Drosophila melanogaster: one gene and its partners. The protein of the gene in region 3 interacts with the protein of the main gene of each other region in a pairwise test. Each region holds a gene or a part of one and is shown on either strand. Other genes may lie near its edges. The genes, in order: veil, stc and COX7C.

Evidence for each region.
Region 1: the proteins of COX7C (region 3) and veil interact in a two-hybrid assay, tested with the Drosophila melanogaster proteins (one large-scale study listed by BioGRID).
Region 2: the proteins of COX7C (region 3) and stc interact in a two-hybrid assay, tested with the Drosophila melanogaster proteins (one large-scale study listed by BioGRID).

What each region holds. Positions count from the first base shown.
Region 1 is NT_033778.4:17,476,297-17,482,656, forward strand, and holds veil (veil), read left to right. Parts: upstream 1-1,861; 5' UTR 1,862-1,973; exon of another isoform or gene 1,974-2,092; 5' UTR 2,093-2,212; exon of another isoform or gene 2,213-3,520; 5' UTR 3,521-3,527; coding exon 3,528-3,763; exon of another isoform or gene 3,764-3,820; coding exon 3,821-3,971; exon of another isoform or gene 3,972-4,035; coding exon 4,036-4,292; exon of another isoform or gene 4,293-4,354; coding exon 4,355-4,649; exon of another isoform or gene 4,650-4,719; coding exon 4,720-5,017; exon of another isoform or gene 5,018-5,078; coding exon 5,079-5,641; 3' UTR 5,642-5,822; downstream 5,823-6,360. Other genes in the region: CG43110 (uncharacterized protein), read right to left, coding at 5,895-6,268, 6,323-6,360.
Region 2 is NT_033779.5:15,111,532-15,118,611, forward strand, and holds stc (shuttle craft), read left to right. Parts: upstream 1-1,948; 5' UTR 1,949-2,358; coding exon 2,359-2,703; intron 2,704-2,768; coding exon 2,769-4,222; intron 4,223-4,468; coding exon 4,469-5,536; intron 5,537-5,608; coding exon 5,609-5,960; intron 5,961-6,022; coding exon 6,023-6,124; 3' UTR 6,125-6,538; downstream 6,539-7,080. Other genes in the region: CG15269 (uncharacterized protein), read left to right, coding at 562-1,383. UniProt on the Drosophila melanogaster protein: Plays an essential role during the late stages of embryonic neurogenesis.
Region 3 is NT_033778.4:10,046,664-10,050,694, reverse strand, and holds COX7C (cytochrome c oxidase subunit 7C), read right to left. Parts: upstream 2,343-4,031; 5' UTR 2,209-2,342; exon of another isoform or gene 2,076-2,208; intron 1,697-2,075; exon of another isoform or gene 1,474-1,696; intron 1,288-1,473; 5' UTR 1,135-1,287; coding exon 1,051-1,134; intron 943-1,050; coding exon 826-942; 3' UTR 796-825; exon of another isoform or gene 791-795; intron 736-790; 3' UTR 629-735; downstream 1-628. Other genes in the region: COX7CL (cytochrome c oxidase subunit 7C-like), read right to left, coding at 1-73, 135-224; oys (oysgedart), read left to right, coding at 2,349-2,444.

The DNA of each region.
Region 1 (6,360 bases), 7.4 Mb from region 3:
AGCAGGATATTGCAACCCTCAGCTGGCGCTGCCTCTCTCTCTACCTCTCTCTCTCTCTCTCTCTATCTCTCTCTCTCTCTCTCTTTCTCTGCCGCTGCAGCAGCCGCGCTCCGAATATCCTCCCTTCCTCCGTGCATCCGTCCTGCACCCCATCCCCCCGGGATCACAGGCGCGCCCTGCTCGTCCTTTCCGACCTTTCAGTTGTTGTTGTCCCGTGTCCGTTTCCTTTCGGTGCGGCATAGCCGATTCCCAAGTTACCTTCCTATGTCCTTTTTTTTAATAGGGTTGCATTGAAGGGTGTGTGCGAAAATAAAGCATTTTAATCAAATTTTCTTTTTTTTACATTTTAAAGCAGACATAAATAAATTATCAATACCTTACAATCTTGGGTAATCAAGTTTTGAGCGTATAAATTTTCATGAATTTTTTTTGAATGTATAAGTTGTCAATTTAATGACGAATTAACTTAATTGCTACAAATAAACGAATCTGGACTTTTAATTCAGTTGATTTCAAATGAGTTTCGATCTGGTTTTAGCGAACAACGACCGATATATGTAATTGCTTAAATTGCTTTTCTTGGCAAAACGTGCACTGCTGACGCACTTAAAGAATAAGTTATTCAGGTTAGACAGTTAAGCTATTTAGGTAATATTTAACGTATCCGTTAAGCATTGTATTCTACCAATAAGCTACCTAAAATTTTGTTTGTGAACTTTGATCACTTGAACTTTGATCACGATGCTTCTTTACGAATATAGATTTTCGTATTTGCATACAAAATTCGTTTAATGTGCATATTTGTAGGAGATTCCCCAGTGCGGTATGCCCGACCATGATAAGCATTTGCAGCTGGCACGCTTCACATTCATCTCTTCGATCGGCACTTCCCCTGCGAGTTAGTTTGACCTGCCACTGCAATGATAAGTGCACACCTAAAAGCACTGCGAGAAATTTTCGAATTTCGTTGTCATGGAAATTGGTATGCGGTATGAGTTAGTTTGAACGAAATCACGTTTACCTCCGTTGGCATGGAGAACCAATTCTTATCGGCTTTATTGCCGATTGTTAACGTAGTAAAGGTGGAGTGGTCCCAAAATGCTAATCGATAATGCTGTCAAAATTTGGAATGAACATAATTCGCTTTATGGTTTATGTCCGCGCATTGTGTAATCATGACCATAATTTAAAATAAAGGGATTTATATTTTGGGTTTGTTGGAAGGGGGAAGGGGGGAGTGCTGAAATATAAGATGACACCATAAATGAAGAATCTCCTGTCCCAAGAAAAAAAAAAAGAAACAATCTCATTGATAGCAATAAATGTTTATTTATGGTCAAGGAAATTGGGCATTATTCGATTTATTTGGGGCTGCGAATTTGACACTATCTCAGCGAATTGTTGTTTCGCAATTTCGGAAGGGGCATTTAAATAATCACGCCCAGACGTCAAGTCTGTGAACTTATGATATGGATGGATTGGATATTTGCATTTAGTATGTCGGCAATGGTGTGTGTACACATTATTTACTTGATAAGCACTTGATGTTGTTAAGGGCGTATCAAAATTGAATCATATATATTATTTTTATCTCATTTTTATCGTACACTTGACATTGTGTAATATTGCGTGCTGGTTTTCCTCTCCCCATTTCAGTTAAACTTGGCCGAAGCATCTTCTATTTATTTTCGAACCAACTCAATTGCTGTTGTATCTTGTATCTTTCGGATATATTTAGGCGACATCTCGAGCAGGAAAGTTGTACCTTTCCCTTTCGTTTTTGAGTTATTTGCCCGAACACAGGCAGCAAATAGTAAATAGCAAATACATTATCCACAGCCGCAGCTGTCGTGTGTCTATTGAGCCATTATACATACTATATGATTGAACAGTTTGAGAAGCACGCGACAAGTGGCAGCGGATAATTTGGGGATGAACTGTGGCCCAAAACCCGGCAATTGTGATCATTTCGTGTGGGTAGAACTTCGCAGTAAACTCATAAAGTAATTTACGCGGCTGTTGAGTGAAATTCATCTTTCCAATATTTATCTATCCTTCCATTTTGGCGGCCATAAATCTGTGCAACAAGCAGGCCTCATTGTTCATCAATCGAATGTGCCTGAAAGTTCGCAGAAGACACTTGCTTGGAATTTTCGGGAAATTAATAACAAAGATCGGCTTACTCGGCACAATCGGCGGACTGTTGTTAATGGTGCGTCAATAAACATGTACAGTAAATACTCTAAATATAGGTAAGCAACCATGTTGCATATAATTTCGTGACAGTGAAAATGTTTTACTATGAAACAAAAGTGCAAATATTAATTACAGATATAGATATTCCAAAAATATCCTTTCGAATGCGTGATCTTTGATTCATGTGTTTAGATCACTTACAAGTAAATGCTGTTTGATGCTAGAGTTACGCCGAATGTAAATTCTCCGTAGCGAGCGTGCACTGTATATATTTTTTAGTACAATCCATATTTCGGCGTGGGAATGTCACGTTGTGTTTAGACAACTGTTGGGCCAACTACCTGCCTCTGTCTGAGTGGCTATGAGTCAGATAAATATATAGCCAATTCACCATTATCTGATCTATAACCGACGATTATCGCGCGATATGTCTGCTTCCGATGGCTTCCAAAACATCGAAATACAATGGGGTAATGCAGAAAGAGCATCGCATTGTCATTCTCAGCCAATTTAACCCGCAATCGCAATACGAGGCCTTATCGTAATCAGTCCGCTTCGCGAGGCAGTAAATTTCGGTTTTGCTGTTTAAGGTACTCGGCTTTATGTTTTCGGCTAATAACGGTTCTCGCACTCTCAGCCAATTTGGTGGGTCAGTCAGTTAGCCCGCGGACCGTGCGACGAGTGCATGTGAGTAGCGATCGTTGGTATTTGGTAATTCGTTGCTTCTGAAGTAACATCGATCGGGCCTTTTTGAGCCGAGTTAGCTTTTAGGCCAATGCCATGAGCAAGCTGAAGTTCGAGCTCGTTTCCGAGTTCAATCGAAAACCAGTTGACCGAGTGAAGTGGACCGCGATGGCAGAAATTTGTCGAGCAGAATGTGCTGGGGATTTGTGTGTTTTTTTTTTGCACACGCAAAGTGATAAGCGGCGATTAGATTTAAAACACCCAATAAACTATAAATTGCGATTTCTGCGCGCTCGTGATTGATAAATATTTGCCTCTCAGCAGTGGATTGGTGATAAGGTCGAAAAGGACCTTCAACAGTCTAAGTAGAAAATCTGGTTAACAACGTTTGAAGTGTTTCCATTACATGTGTAAAACCATTCGGATAAGAAAACGAACTAATACTTAAAACACGCTTCATTAAGTGGCAGTGCATTAATTTTTTATTAAAATTTTTAGATTTTCATGAGTGCAAAAACAATGATTATGACAAACCAGTTGCCGTGCGCGAATCAGTGCTTATTCACCGAAGATTATCCACCCACATTTCATCCCTTCGTGTGTGATAACTTATCAGCGATTGTTGTGTTTATTGTTCCAGCACCAAAATGTTACCTGCCCGTGGTCTCCTTATCGGATCATGCTGCCTACTGGCTCTACTGATTCATCCTGTGCAGCCGAATCCCATTGCACCCCGGGCGGAAGTTGCCGCCGAGTTCATCATTCTGCACAACAATGACATGCACGCCCGATTCGAGCAGACGAGTGTGACCAGTGGCACCTGCTCCAAGGAGGAGGCCAATACGGATCAGTGCTACGGAGGATTCGCCAGGGTGGCATACGAGTAAGTGCGGTCAGTTTGCCTAGAGTTCAACTATTCATGCTGATGAACTTCAACTAGGGTGCGAAAGTATCGCAAGGAGGCGGAGGAGGGTGGAACTCCAGTGTTTTATCTCAATGCAGGTGACACCTATACCGGAACTGCTTGGTTCACCGTCTATAAGGACAAGATCGCCAGTGCTTTCCTCAACAAGCTATCGCCAGATGCTATTGTAACTATTATTTTATTGTTTTCCGCATTCTCTTACTATATTTCATCAATATACCTTTCAATAGTCTCTGGGCAACCATGAGTTTGATCAGAATGTTGAGGGTTTGGTGCCCTTCCTAAATGCCGTGGAATTCCCTGTTTTGGCCTGTAATCTGAACCTCACCGATGTTCCGGAAATGGCGGCTGCCAAGCAGCTGGCCAACTCGACGATCCTCGAGAGAAATGGGGTGAAGGTTGGCGTTATCGGTTACCTTACGCCCGATACCAAGGTGCTTGCCTTTCGGAACAAAGTGGAGTACGAGGAGGAAATCGTGTCCATCAAGTGGGTATAGCTCAAATCCGCTGGAGAGCAAGGATGTTAATGCATGTTCATTTATTCCGCAGTGCGGAGGCCGCAAAGCTAAAGGCTCAAGGCATCAATATCATCATCGCTTTGGGTCACTCTGGATACCAAAAGGATCAGGAGATAGCCATGAACTGCCCGGAGGTGGACATAGTCATTGGTGGCCATTCGCACACATTCTTAGATGCCAATCAGCCGGTGGCCGATCCCACGGACTCTGATCCGGAGGCGGTTCGAGGTCCCTATCCCACCACAGTGGTGCAGGCGAGCGGCAAGAAGGTACCAGTGGTTCAGGCATACGCGTATACCAAGTATCTCGGAAAGATTCATGTTCAGGTAAGCACTATATATTATCTGGATTATTATTAAAGAAATTTGAATATAATTGTAATACGAATATTTCCAGTTTGATGCCGAGGGAAATCTGATCGAGTTTGATGGCGCTCCCATTTTGCTGAATGCCTCTGTAGCTCAGGAGCAGGATCTCCTGGATTTGCTAGACGAATACCGCCCCAAGCTGGACGAGCTGGAGAACACGGTTCTGGGTTACACTAAGGTGTTTCTCGAGGGCGGCAACATCTGCCGCATGAGGGAGTGCAACCTTGGCAACTTGGTGACAGATGCCATGATCTATAGTCGCGTGTTGGAAAACAAGGGCGGCGAATTCTGGACAGATACTGCGATTGCTTTTATGCAGGGAGGAGGTGTGTTTTATTTGGTGTCATTAGAGAAATTCGAAATTACGTGGATCTACATATTTTATAGGAATCCGTGGCTCCGTCGATAAGAAGGATGATGGAGTCATCAATGGCGCCACCCTCTTAGCCGTTCTTCCGTTCGAGAATAATCTGTACGTGACAAGGATTCTCGGAAGCACCCTTCTGGCTGCCCTGGAACACTCCGCGTCTGTGAGGTTGCAGGACTCCAATGGTGGATTCCTGCAGATGTCCGGACTGCGTGTGGTGTACAACTACAACAATGAGCAGGGCAAGCGAGTGGTTTCCGCACAGGCCCTATGCGCCAGCTGCGCCGTGCCCACGTACAAGAGCATCAATGAGACGGCCCTGTACCAAGTGATCGTGCCCCAGTTCCTGCTGGAAGGCGGCGATGGCTACACTCTGATCGAGGAGTCGGATCCCTTCACCGAGAGCATGCAGCGAAACGATCTGAATGCTACCATGGAGTACCTGAAGCAGCGCCATTTCGTGTATCCCGAGATCGAGGAACGAATTGTGATTCACGAGAAGGCTGACACCGGATCGGCGTCTGGTATTGTGGCCTCCATCTCCTTGCTTCTGCTCTCTTCCCTGCTAACTAGATTCATCTAGTGGCACTTTCAGCTTCTCATTTCAGAACCCCAATTCATAAATAAGCTTATTAATGCGATTGCATTTTTTCGACTTAAAGAGTCAAGTGTGATTGGTGATAAGTTTGCCCTTAATTAATATAATATATGCTTGTTTCACACACAAACTTAAACTAAATAGCTAATAAATGTTGTGAGAACTGAAATGATATTGTGTTTAAATTTATTTACTGCTTGTGTAGTTTTCGATTAAATCGCCCGATAATCCAGATACCCTATTCATTCTGATTTACTATTTTCGAGATCCATTCTGCATTTGCCATAGCACTGGTTATTACGTATACGTCATTGTGCGAAACGTCTACCAAGCCCAATAGAACGAAATGGACCATGCCCGAAACATTCAATATTTTTTTAACCAATATATCGCCAGCTGTACCAAATTGCTTAAGCGCATTTGGTTGGAAAGTGTTTTTCACACAAAACTGATTCTGTTCGATATTTCTCCTCAACTCAAGTTCACACAACTGCCAATTAAGGCTTTGCACATTTATAACGTAATTGCTTAAGCCATATTGACCTGTGCCAGTGATTCTTAAAGAACCAGCGATGTTTGCAGTTTCCAGAATGCAGATCGGTCTCAATGCACCTGCAACAGAAAATCACTGTAATGTCTCAGCCTATGTTGTCCAACTAATTTTACCTCTGTTTTCCAACCGACGCGTCAGGCTAATCAGTGAT
Region 2 (7,080 bases), on a different chromosome or scaffold from region 3:
GGCAAAAAAGAGAGAACTGGTTTTACGCATGGGTGCAGCTACAAGATACGTTAGAAAGGGCCAGACGCCGAGCGAGAGGTAATCACAAAATGGCCACTTTGGGAAAGAACACCAATTTCAGTAGCTAACTGAAGCAAGCCACATTTGAAGTTGCAACAAAATTATTACAAACAATGGGGAACATTCGAATGTGTAACCATGGTATTTTTTGCATTTCTGGCTTATTTTGTATAAGTATAAATGTGTCCAAAGCTCAGTTTTCAGTAACTTTATATTCGAAATCTTCCAATCCTCACTAGAACTTATAGAATAAGGTATTAATATTAGGACCTAATTAAAATGTTGCTAAACATACTCATCTTGAAAGCCTCCCTTCCAAAAACTAACTAACTAACGAACAGTTTGTAGAAAATCGCTGTTTTATGAATTTCACAACAGATTTTCACTACCTCAGGTTTTTTATTAAAATTTTAAATCTCTTACTATTGCTACAATATTACTATTGCTAAGCTAATGTATCTTATTTATTTATCTTATTTGTCTATTATGTTCTTATTTCAGGCTCATGAAAAGACGCACAAATCGCCGCGTTACGAGTGTGCGGATTGTGGAAAGGGTTTCTCCCAGCTGCGAAATTACAAATATCACCTGTCCGTTCACCGAGGAACCAAGGAGTTTGCCGCCGAGTGTCCCGAATGTGGCAAGACATTCAACGATAAGGGATATTTGAGCAGTCACCTAAAGATTCACCGGAACCGGAAGGAGTACGAGTGTCCTTACTGTCCCAAATCGTTCAATCAGCGTGTGGCCTTCAATATGCATGTCCGGATTCATACCGGCGTGAAACCCCACAAATGCAACGAGTGCGGAAAGAGATTTTCGCGTAAAATGCTGCTCAAACAGCACATGAGGACGCACAGTGGTGAGAAACCGTATCAGTGCTCCGTGTGCGGCAAGTCCTTTGCCGATCGCAGCAACATGACCCTGCACCATCGCCTCCACTCGGGAATCAAGCCCTTCAGCTGCCCCCTGTGCCCCAAAGCCTTCACCAAAAAGCATCACCTAAAGACGCATCTGAATTACCATACAGGCTGCAAGCCGTATGTCTGCCCACATCCCAACTGCAATCAGGCATTCACCCAGTCGAGCAATATGCGAACCCACGCTAAGAAGTGTCAGTACCGTCCGTTGGATGGACTCACGGTCACATCATCCGCACTTCCAGTACCGGGAAAACAACAAACAGGTCCACCGCCCACTTTGGCCATGGCCATGGCTCAAACATTTCAAATGCCGCCACCTCCTGGAGTTCTAACACCTGGATCTGGTCCATCCCAACCGCCGAGTCAGCAAACCCTTCTCAGCAATCTCAGGACATTCTAAATGGGTGGAATCGTTGTGCCCGGCCAGTTTCAACCAAATTTGTGGCAATTACAAAGTGCAGTACTTCCACTGTTGTTATTCAATTTACATTTATTTTCAAGCAATAATTTTGCTAGAAATTAAATTAGGAATAGACATTAATTATTATTAAAATAGGCATATATATTGGCCAGTCAATAAAGTATAATATCAAATACAAAAGGATTCCAGGATTCTAGAAATAATATTTTGGATTGGAGATATGATTGGGAGTCCAACTAGGTAATTTCGCTTATAATCAGATAACGCAGCCTTATTTAATTCAAATCTTCTAGTGACAAAAATTAAAAGATGTATGTTTTTTTAGTAAACAAATGAACGAACCGTTGCAGTACATTTAACATATTTAAAAGTGCGCTCTCACTCAGCCAGATGGCGCCACCTGATAGTTTATTACCACTGTAGGTGTGTTGAGTAACTAAACGAAATCTTGCTGTTAAATTGTATTCACAGCTGTCCTAAAACCGAGTTGGCAGCCCTTTTCCCCTCAAAAATCGAAAGTCTGTTAATATATCGATAAGTCAAGGCAATTGTCAGTGGTACCGTTTCGTCTGGTATGACCGTGTTGTGAAATTTTGTTAGAAATTTACAATATAAGCGAGCATAAAAAACGCAGGAAAAGCGCAAAAAAATCAGTAAAACGTGCCTGCGGACCCAGGCTGCGGTGCGTCCAGTTGGCCGTAGAAAGCCTTTACCAAATTCGATCGAACTGAGAATTCGATTCGGTTAACTTCTGCATTGGGCTCAATTTCACCATTGCACACGTGTCTGGAGCTTTTCCTGGGTTCGGTCACCTCCTCCTCGGATTGCGGACGATCCCGTGGTAGCGCTGGGAAATGCCCAGCAGAGGACGGCGGGCAGTTCGAGATTGTTCCGGCAAAGAAGCAGGCGCAACTGCAACAGACGCTGGTCACCAACGACAGCACCGGACTCTCAATGGCTGAGTACTGGCAGCAGTTGACCAACGGCGCCGGAGAAGCGGGACCCGGCAATGAGTCATCCGCCATGGCAGACTGCAACGGAGGTCACGAATCGGCGGCAGTGGGTGGTTCCTGCAACAGGCACAGCAACAACAATTACGTGAACTTCAATCAGTTCATTATGCAGCACAATCTGGGTGGAGGAGCGCCCTCGAATGCCACCAGCACTATGCAACATCCGGTGGGCAGCAGCTACACTAACTTCTCCCTGGGCGGCGGTGGAGGAGCCTTTGGACTGAACCCACCAGTGGCATCCGCGAGTACCAGCCACTTTGCAAATGTGAGTCATCAATCTCCGAATGTATGTTTCGATATATTAGAACTTAGGTTTAGTCCTAATGAATCAACTAATAAATCACAAAACAGTTTTACTCGCAGGCCATGATCCCAACCTATCAAAATGGCGATGGCATCGCTAGAGTCACCGTCACCAGCAGCTATGGGTCGGTCAATCCGAGCAACAGCAATTTTTCGAGTTTTTACACACCTTTTGGCAATAATCCGTTTGACTTCAGCGCTTCCAAGCTGCAGGCCTCGGCTCCGGAATTCGTGCCCAATTTCGCCAAGCTGAGTCTAGAAGAGACACCGGCAGCCGCCACTACGAACGGAAACAGCACTGCCAGCCTAGAGACTGCCATAAATGAGACGAGACCTAGGACTCTGCGAGCCCAAGAACCAGCTGAACGAGGAGCTAACAACCAATGCTCGAACCATAATTACGAACGGGAGCGTGAGCGGGAACGTGACCGGGACCGGGACAGGGAAAGAGACCGGGACAGAGACAGGGACAGAGACCGGGACAGAGACCGGGACAGGGACAGGGACTCTAGACCCGGAAATACGCGACAACAACGCCGCTCCGACTATCGGGACGATCGGGAGGACCGGTACGAAAGAAGCGATCGTAGGAGGCCGCAGAAGCAGCAACGCTACGACAATCATCGCAGCAACAAACGCAGGGATGACTGGAATCGCAACAGGGACCGCATCAACGGCTTTCCCAGGGCCGTTGACGATTTGGACACGAGCAATGAGAGCGCACACCCATCGCCCGAAAAGCAGTCGCAACTGCAGCAAATCTCCCCAAGGCGAGGTCCACCGCTACCACCGGCGGATAACGAAAAACTATCGCAGCGAGAGAAACTGGTTCGCGACATCGAACAGCGCCGATTGGAGTGCCTTGTATGCGTGGAGGCGATCAAGTCGCACCAGCCAACCTGGTCGTGCAGGAACTGCTATCACATGCTGCACCTTAAGTGCACCATCACCTGGGCGAGTAGCTCCAAGTCCGAGGTGGGCTGGCGTTGTCCAGCTTGCCAGAATGTGCTGCAGGATTTGCCACGCGACTATCTCTGCTTTTGCGGCAAACTGAAAAACCCGCCGGTATCACGGACCGAATTGGCCCACAGCTGTGGCGAGGTCTGCTGCCGAATTGAGGGTTGTAGCCATGCCTGCACTCTGCTCTGTCACCCAGGCCCTTGTCCGCCGTGCCAGGCCAACGTGGTGCGCAGCTGTGGATGTGGACGCAGCACAAAAACGATGCAGTGCGCCATGAAGGAAGAGGTGCTCTGCGGCGAGATCTGCGACAAGCTGCTTAACTGTGGCGAGCATCGCTGCCAGGCGGAGTGCCACTCGGGCAAGTGCGCGGCGTGTTCCGAGCAAGTGGTGCAGCAGTGCCACTGCGGCAAGCAGGAGCGCAAGGTGCCATGCACGCGAGAATCGCAGGACAAACGCACCTATTCGTGCAAGGACAGCTGCGGTCAACCGCTTCCCTGCGGCCACCACAAGTGCAAGGACTCCTGCCACGCGGGAAGTTGTAGGTAAGAATAACTGATTCAACTCATTTATAGTATTGGTTTCATTTAAACCAATAACCCCAAAAAACGGCTCAAACTCGAAAATTGTGTTAGGTTTCTAAAATATGTGCATTAACATTAACACAAAACATCAGAATTGAATTTGGTATGAACCAATTTTATGCTAAATTATTCAGCGTTTGCAATCGTGTCTTTGTGCAGAGTACTAAGAAACTCATACAATTAAACTGATAATATGATTCTTTTCAGACCCTGCAAGCTGAGTCCCGAGCAGATAACAAGTTGTCCTTGTGGCAAAATGCCTGTACCGGCTGGCCAGCGTTCAAGCTGCCTGGACCCGATTCCCACATGCGAGGGCATCTGCTCTAGGACATTACGTTGTGGAAAGCCAGCGCATCCGCATCAATGCGGAAGCAAATGTCACTTGGGCCAGTGCCCTCCATGTCCCAAGCAGACCGGTGTAAAGTGTCGTTGCGGCCACATGGACCAAATGATAAAGTGTCGGCAGCTATGTAACAGAGCGGACGACGCCCGCTGCAAGCGACGTTGCACCAAGAAGCGCAGCTGTGGAAAGCACAAGTGCAACGTTGAGTGCTGCATCGATATAGACCACGACTGTCCACTGCCATGTAATCGAACCCTCAGTTGTGGCAAACACAAGTGCGATCAGCCGTGTCACCGCGGCAATTGTCCGCCATGCTACCGCAGCAGTTTCGAAGAGCTCTATTGCGAGTGTGGTGCCGAAGTGATCTATCCACCAGTGCCGTGTGGCACCAAGAAGCCAATCTGCAAGCTTCCTTGCTCGCGCATTCATCCATGCGATCATCCGCCGCAGCACAACTGCCATTCGGGCCCCACCTGTCCGCCCTGCATGATTTTCACGACGAAATTGTGTCACGGCAACCACGAGCTGCGCAAGACCATTCCCTGCTCGCAGCCCAACTTTAGCTGTGGCATGGCCTGTGGCAAGCCGTTGCCGTGTGGCGGGCACAAGTGTATAAAGCCGTGTCACGAGGGCCCCTGTCAGTCTGCCGGCGAGATATGCCGGCAGAGCTGCACCAAGCCACGACCGACCTGTGGTCATAAGTGTGCAGCTGCCTGTCACGAGGGAGCCTGTCCGGAAACGCCTTGCAAGGAGCTGGTGGAGGTGCAGTGCGAGTGCGGCAACCGAAAGCAGAACCGCAGCTGCCAGGAACTAGCCAGGGAGCACAGTCGTATAGCCACCATCCAGCTGGCCTCGTCCATGGCAGAGATGTCACGCGGCAACTACATGGAGCTCAGCGAAATCTTGGCTCCAGCCAAGAAATCTAATAAAACGTGAGTGGTGGTGTCTATTCAGCCGAATTTAAGTTTTCACTAGTATTAATATACGTAACATTTTGTCTTTAGTTTGGATTGCAACGACGAATGTCGTCTACTGGAGAGGAATCGTCGTCTTGCCGCGGCCCTGTCTTCTGGAAATTCCGATACAAAGCAAAAGTGTCTAACCAAGTACTCGGAGTTTGTTCGTGGCTTCGCAAAGAAGAACCCAGCGCTGACCAAGAGCGTTTACGAGACGTTGACCGACCTGGTAAAGTTGGCCAAGGAAAGCAAGCAACGGTCGAGGAGCCACTCTTTCCCCACCATGAACCGCGAAAAGAGGCAGCTGGTGCACGAGTTGTGCGAGGTATTTGGGATTGAATCGGTTTCCTATGACAAGGAGCCAAATCGCAATGTTGTTGCCACGGCCCATAAGGATAGGGTGAGTTCAACTTTGTAAAACACCAACTGAATCGCGTACTTATTTGGCTTAACTATTTGCAGTGCTGGTTCCCCGCCACGAGCATCATGGAAGTGCTGGCTCGTGAGTCCGGACAACGCCGTGTCCCGGTGCCCAGTAACAATGCTTGGGGATTGAAGAAGTAGATCAAATCCGTGTGGTATACAGAGATATTAAATATATTAAATCGTTGGCGCTGGAAAATAATAGTTAAAAATGGATAGATAATGCAAATGGAAGCCTGGATGTGGAAGACTTATTGATTGAACCTAAATGAGGAAAATTTTGTGGATGCGCTGCGAGGACAATACAGAAGGATAATTGCCGTTACCACGTATATTTTGTAAATTATAACAAATGTTAGTTGAACCCTAGAATGCTAAATGTTGAATACTTGAATATGGAGTGAACTGGATAAGCAGGCACAAATGTGAAGAATCATGTTAACCAATCTGTTGTACGATGAATTTATCCAAAAGCGAAACCTTCTGGCCACGTTGCATCTAAATACAAAGGAAAGCGATAGATGAGAAGGATAAATAAATGAGTAAATAGAGCAGAGGGCAATTATTGTGTTTTTTGTTTTAATTAATTTATTTCATGGGAGAAATTATGGATAAAAGGTCTTATAAACTTAATTTCAAATTTATGTCGCGATGGAACACAATGTCTTGTATGTTGCAGCAATTAGCTTTCAACAGTGGTCAGTATTCAGTGCTGTAAGTCGTTGTTATTTAACGGTCGCTTGTTTCAAACTGAAGTAATTTTGGAATTTACTTCGCTTAGAACAGAAATAATTTCAAATTTAAAATATAAATATATAGGACGTCATGCTTCACCATTAGATAATTAAAGTGGCGCGGAAATGAAAACAACCCAAGTGGAGGTGCTCAAGGGATATTCCACCTGCTGATCCATCCTGGTAGTCGAGGAAACTAGCAAACATCCCCCGGACTGCCCACAAGCCGAACTCGTTGCCATCTCGTTTCGGGCTATGGGCACAGGCCTCTAATTTGTTGCCATTGCCGTTGCCATTTTCACGAAAAACAATAAGCGGCGCCTGGGGAATAATGCCAAAATAAAGATGAAATGTTACGACAAG
Region 3 (4,031 bases):
CAAAGCCCACGACTCCCGCAATTAGGTAAAATAGTGTGAAACGCATTGGACTATCCAAGCCAAAGGGTAAGTTCTGTGAGGGAAATTGTAAGTTCTTAGAATGGTTAGCTGCGTGTTGACCTTGGATTAACTACCGCCCCAGGAGAGCCGCCTGGATATCCACTCCCATAACGCATCAGCGGCCCGCTAAACTTGCCAATGGGTTTACGAAGTGTGGGCCACATGAGTAAATTTTAATCCGTTTGTTGAGACGGGAATAAGAAATTATTTGATTGCTTGCGAGTGAGAAGTTACTCCCAGATTTCTAGCGAACGAATGAAAGTTACTGGCTTTTCGAAAAATTTCCTGACATATATCTTTATAGGCAAGCCTACTTAAGGGAACCCTTAAAACTTCACCATTACTAGAAATATTCCTTCCAGTTGGCAACTTTGCGTGTACATCGGTTTCTGACGTCGTTCTACCAAGTCCATGTTATTTGCGAGCACAGTTTCCATAGTTTAGCCACAAGATATTGATACTAAAAGCTTTAAAAATAAGCGTGGATGCATTTACAAGTGCCAATACCAAACAAACTGTTGTTCCACATAAGCCGTCTTGCCAGCTTTTAAAGAAAACATCCACCAATCGGTTCTACGGTCACGGGTAACTTTATTTCGTTTCCACTTTTTACTTAAATTTAAGCTGTAACACACTGTAATGGCCTGCCGGCCAACTCAGCAGATAACGCTACATCTGAAAAGTGAATATTTATATTAAAATGCAAACCGAATATAACCAATAAACTAACCTTACATTTGTTGTTGCTGTCGCCAGGGGAGCCCCTTACTTCTTGAGCAGTTGGTGCCTGACGATCAGGAAGGGCGATCCGAAGCCCAAGACACAGCCGATGGTGAACAGGGCGGTGATGCGGTACTTGTTCGTCAGCCCGAAGGGAAGATTCTGCATGAGAATGAGGTGTTTTCCGGTGTTAGAATTGATTTTCCTCCCAATCCTATGCGAGTCGTGCAAATTATGTAACCCGCAATGGGCCCATTTTTAGGGACTCACCTCTCCGGGAACTCCACCATGTCCGCTAAAGCGAACCATCGACTGGGAAAAGTTGCGTGCAATCACACTGCTGCGGCCCAACATCTCGCAATTTGACTTATTTGATAATAATTCCAGGAAAATAAAGTTCGCAGTGGGTGCGCAGAATAGAGATGACAAATGGTCGATAGCTGCCGTGCAGCTCTGCTGATTACGTTACGTTAACGTTAATGCGGTTTCTGTTAACTTTGCCTTTGGCTTCACAAAAAATACATTTTATTTAAAAAAAATAAATTTGTAAAATGTAATATAAGAATTTCCTAGGTATCGCTTGACTAACATTTATACGGCTTAAATACTTCGTAAGTATTTCGTTTTTATTTATTTAATATTTTTATAAGTACTGGTGAAAAACGTAGTCATTCCTTCATTGCTGGTACTTACTAGTTCATTTATTAGGTGCAACGTAGGTACTTCAAATACACCACTTGGGCACCCGGTGCACTACATAACTATTTTCAAACCTCAAACCAAATCCCAATCCATTTAAATGTAAATTTTTAAATTCTTAACTGCTTTTAAAAACTATTAAATTTTATTCGTTTCTCTCGAGTGATGTGTCCTTTTTCTAAATGACTGCCATCCGTAATGTCCCGTACACAGCATGCTAAATATAATTAGTAAAAATTTGTTTCATTTTCCTCTTAAATTTTAGAAATATTTTCCCTTTATATAAAATAAATATATATAACAGTGCCGTGTTTTTATTTTAACGTAAATAAAATTTGAATGTTATCTATTTATATATTTATTTGAAATCATTTAAAATTAATAATAATAAAAAGAATTTTACGTTAATTTGCTTCCAACTACGCCCACGCGAATTGTTGTTAATTTATAATAACGAGCGAGTTTGACACGGTATTAGGGGTATTCGATTTTATCTATTCAGGGGCTTAACAGACACTAAGCGCTCTGTTATCTTGTCAAAAACTATCGGCAACTAGGGCCATCGCTGGCCCCATCAAACACGCCGAGCGCTCATCTCTATTGCGTTTCGAATATTTCATTTATACGCACGGGTACGGTAGACTCGATCCAAACAGACAAACGTTCAAAATTATTGCACAAAATTATAAGTAAACACCCCGCGTCCACCCCACCGCCCATATTGGGTACCTCGTGTTTTCGGTGGTTCCCTGAAATACCGGAAAAGTGTCTGTTAATCGTGAAGTTTTCCTAATGAAGCACTGAAACAGAACGACCGACAGCAACAACAACGCAACAGAAAAGAGTGGATAAAGAAAACAGACAGCAAAATGCTAGAACCGCCGAAATTTATAGAGAATGATTGCTACAACGGCAGCCGGACCTTCACTTGGCTGGCGGATATGGTGGGCCTCTCCGTGGACTTGGTGAGTAACACACTATTTACTCCCTGGTTCTTAAGACCCCTCCTCCCCTACCGTTATCTTTCGAAACGGGTGTGTGCACGTGTGCGTGTGTATACGCGTGTTAGTTGTGTGCCAATCATACGGGATAAAAGCCGCTGAGCAAATCTCTCTCTTCCTGAGAACAATGCACTTCTTGAAGGACAGAGCTGGGATTTACTTCTGCCTGAACGGCATATTTTTCCGGGAATTATGCAAAACTTACCTGGCAACGGGAGGTAAATAGATTCCATGCCGGTTGCCCAAACAAAGATTTAGTTTACAGTGAACGATCTATGTATTGAACCTTTTAACATAAGAGACTATCTGAAAATTTATTTATTTAATAATTTAATTTAAATAATTTATTTATTATAATATATAAAAATTGTTTATTTGCAAATCATGAGAAAACAAACTTAAAGCAGTGATATTTTCACAATCACATATAATTATGAATTAGCTTTAGTTGTTTACGTTAATAATAGCGTAAGGCAGCTAATCGCATCTGGCAAGTGCTTTATATTTTACCCACTTTGTAGTTTTTCTAATTTAATTAAGACATCTTGAATTATATGAAGACCTTATCAGCTGACAAGAATTATCTACCAGTGGAATTTTCCAGCCCTCAAGCGGGGTACCGTGAAATTTTGAAATTACTATTGTTGCGGCTGACGCACCGTTGATTTCGCTAAATTTAAAATGCTTTGCATCACTTAATAGTGCGGTGGGTACTAGAGGGGGGCACTGATTAATCTCTTCGCAGAGAGTGTCGCACAGCCACACTTACTTCCCCACTGTCTCCTGTAACCCCCTTTTTGTGCACCATTCATTTGGCGTAATGTAATTTGCATAACTGCAGCTGGCATATAGAAATGTGATTCATAGCAAGGCATTTTCTGGCCCAAATCAAGCGACATACACGTACGTAATCCTCACATTTTTCAATTCTGATGACCTAATGCAAACTTCCGATGTAAGGAAAGCACAACTAACGGAAAATCAGTGTTAGTTCGCCATCGGGCCGTTGTCTCTATCAATAGCCGCACTAAATTCAATTTGGCTTGGTTCAAACTATGAACCTCTCCATCTCAGATAATTGAATTTTTAGCGCTTCTTTTGTTTGCAAACAAATATCAACAGCTTGTCGGTGTGTTGGTTAGCGGATTTCTTGTTATTCCGAATCAGCTGATGTAGACCGCATGAGTCAACCAGTCTGTCGAGCAAAAAACAGTAAACGCAGCAAAAAATAGGTACTTTAGGAGGGTATAGCAATAAAAACATAAACAAAAACACTACATTTATATAATACATTTCACCAATCAGCGATCAAAATGAGTTTTCTTAAGATGTGAATAAGAAATTTAAAAACAAACGTTTACCGGCCTCAGAGTTGACTGTACCTCGTAATGGGGTTTTGTGGATGGGCGACACTTTTTTGGAAATCGCTACGCCCGATATTTGATTTGTTTGTGGCTTTTTATTGCGCTAATTCGAAGCGAAGGCCGCAGCACGCAACTGCGCAAATGCCGGTGAATTGGCCAATTGTTCCGTGGAATCGCCCCATGTTTA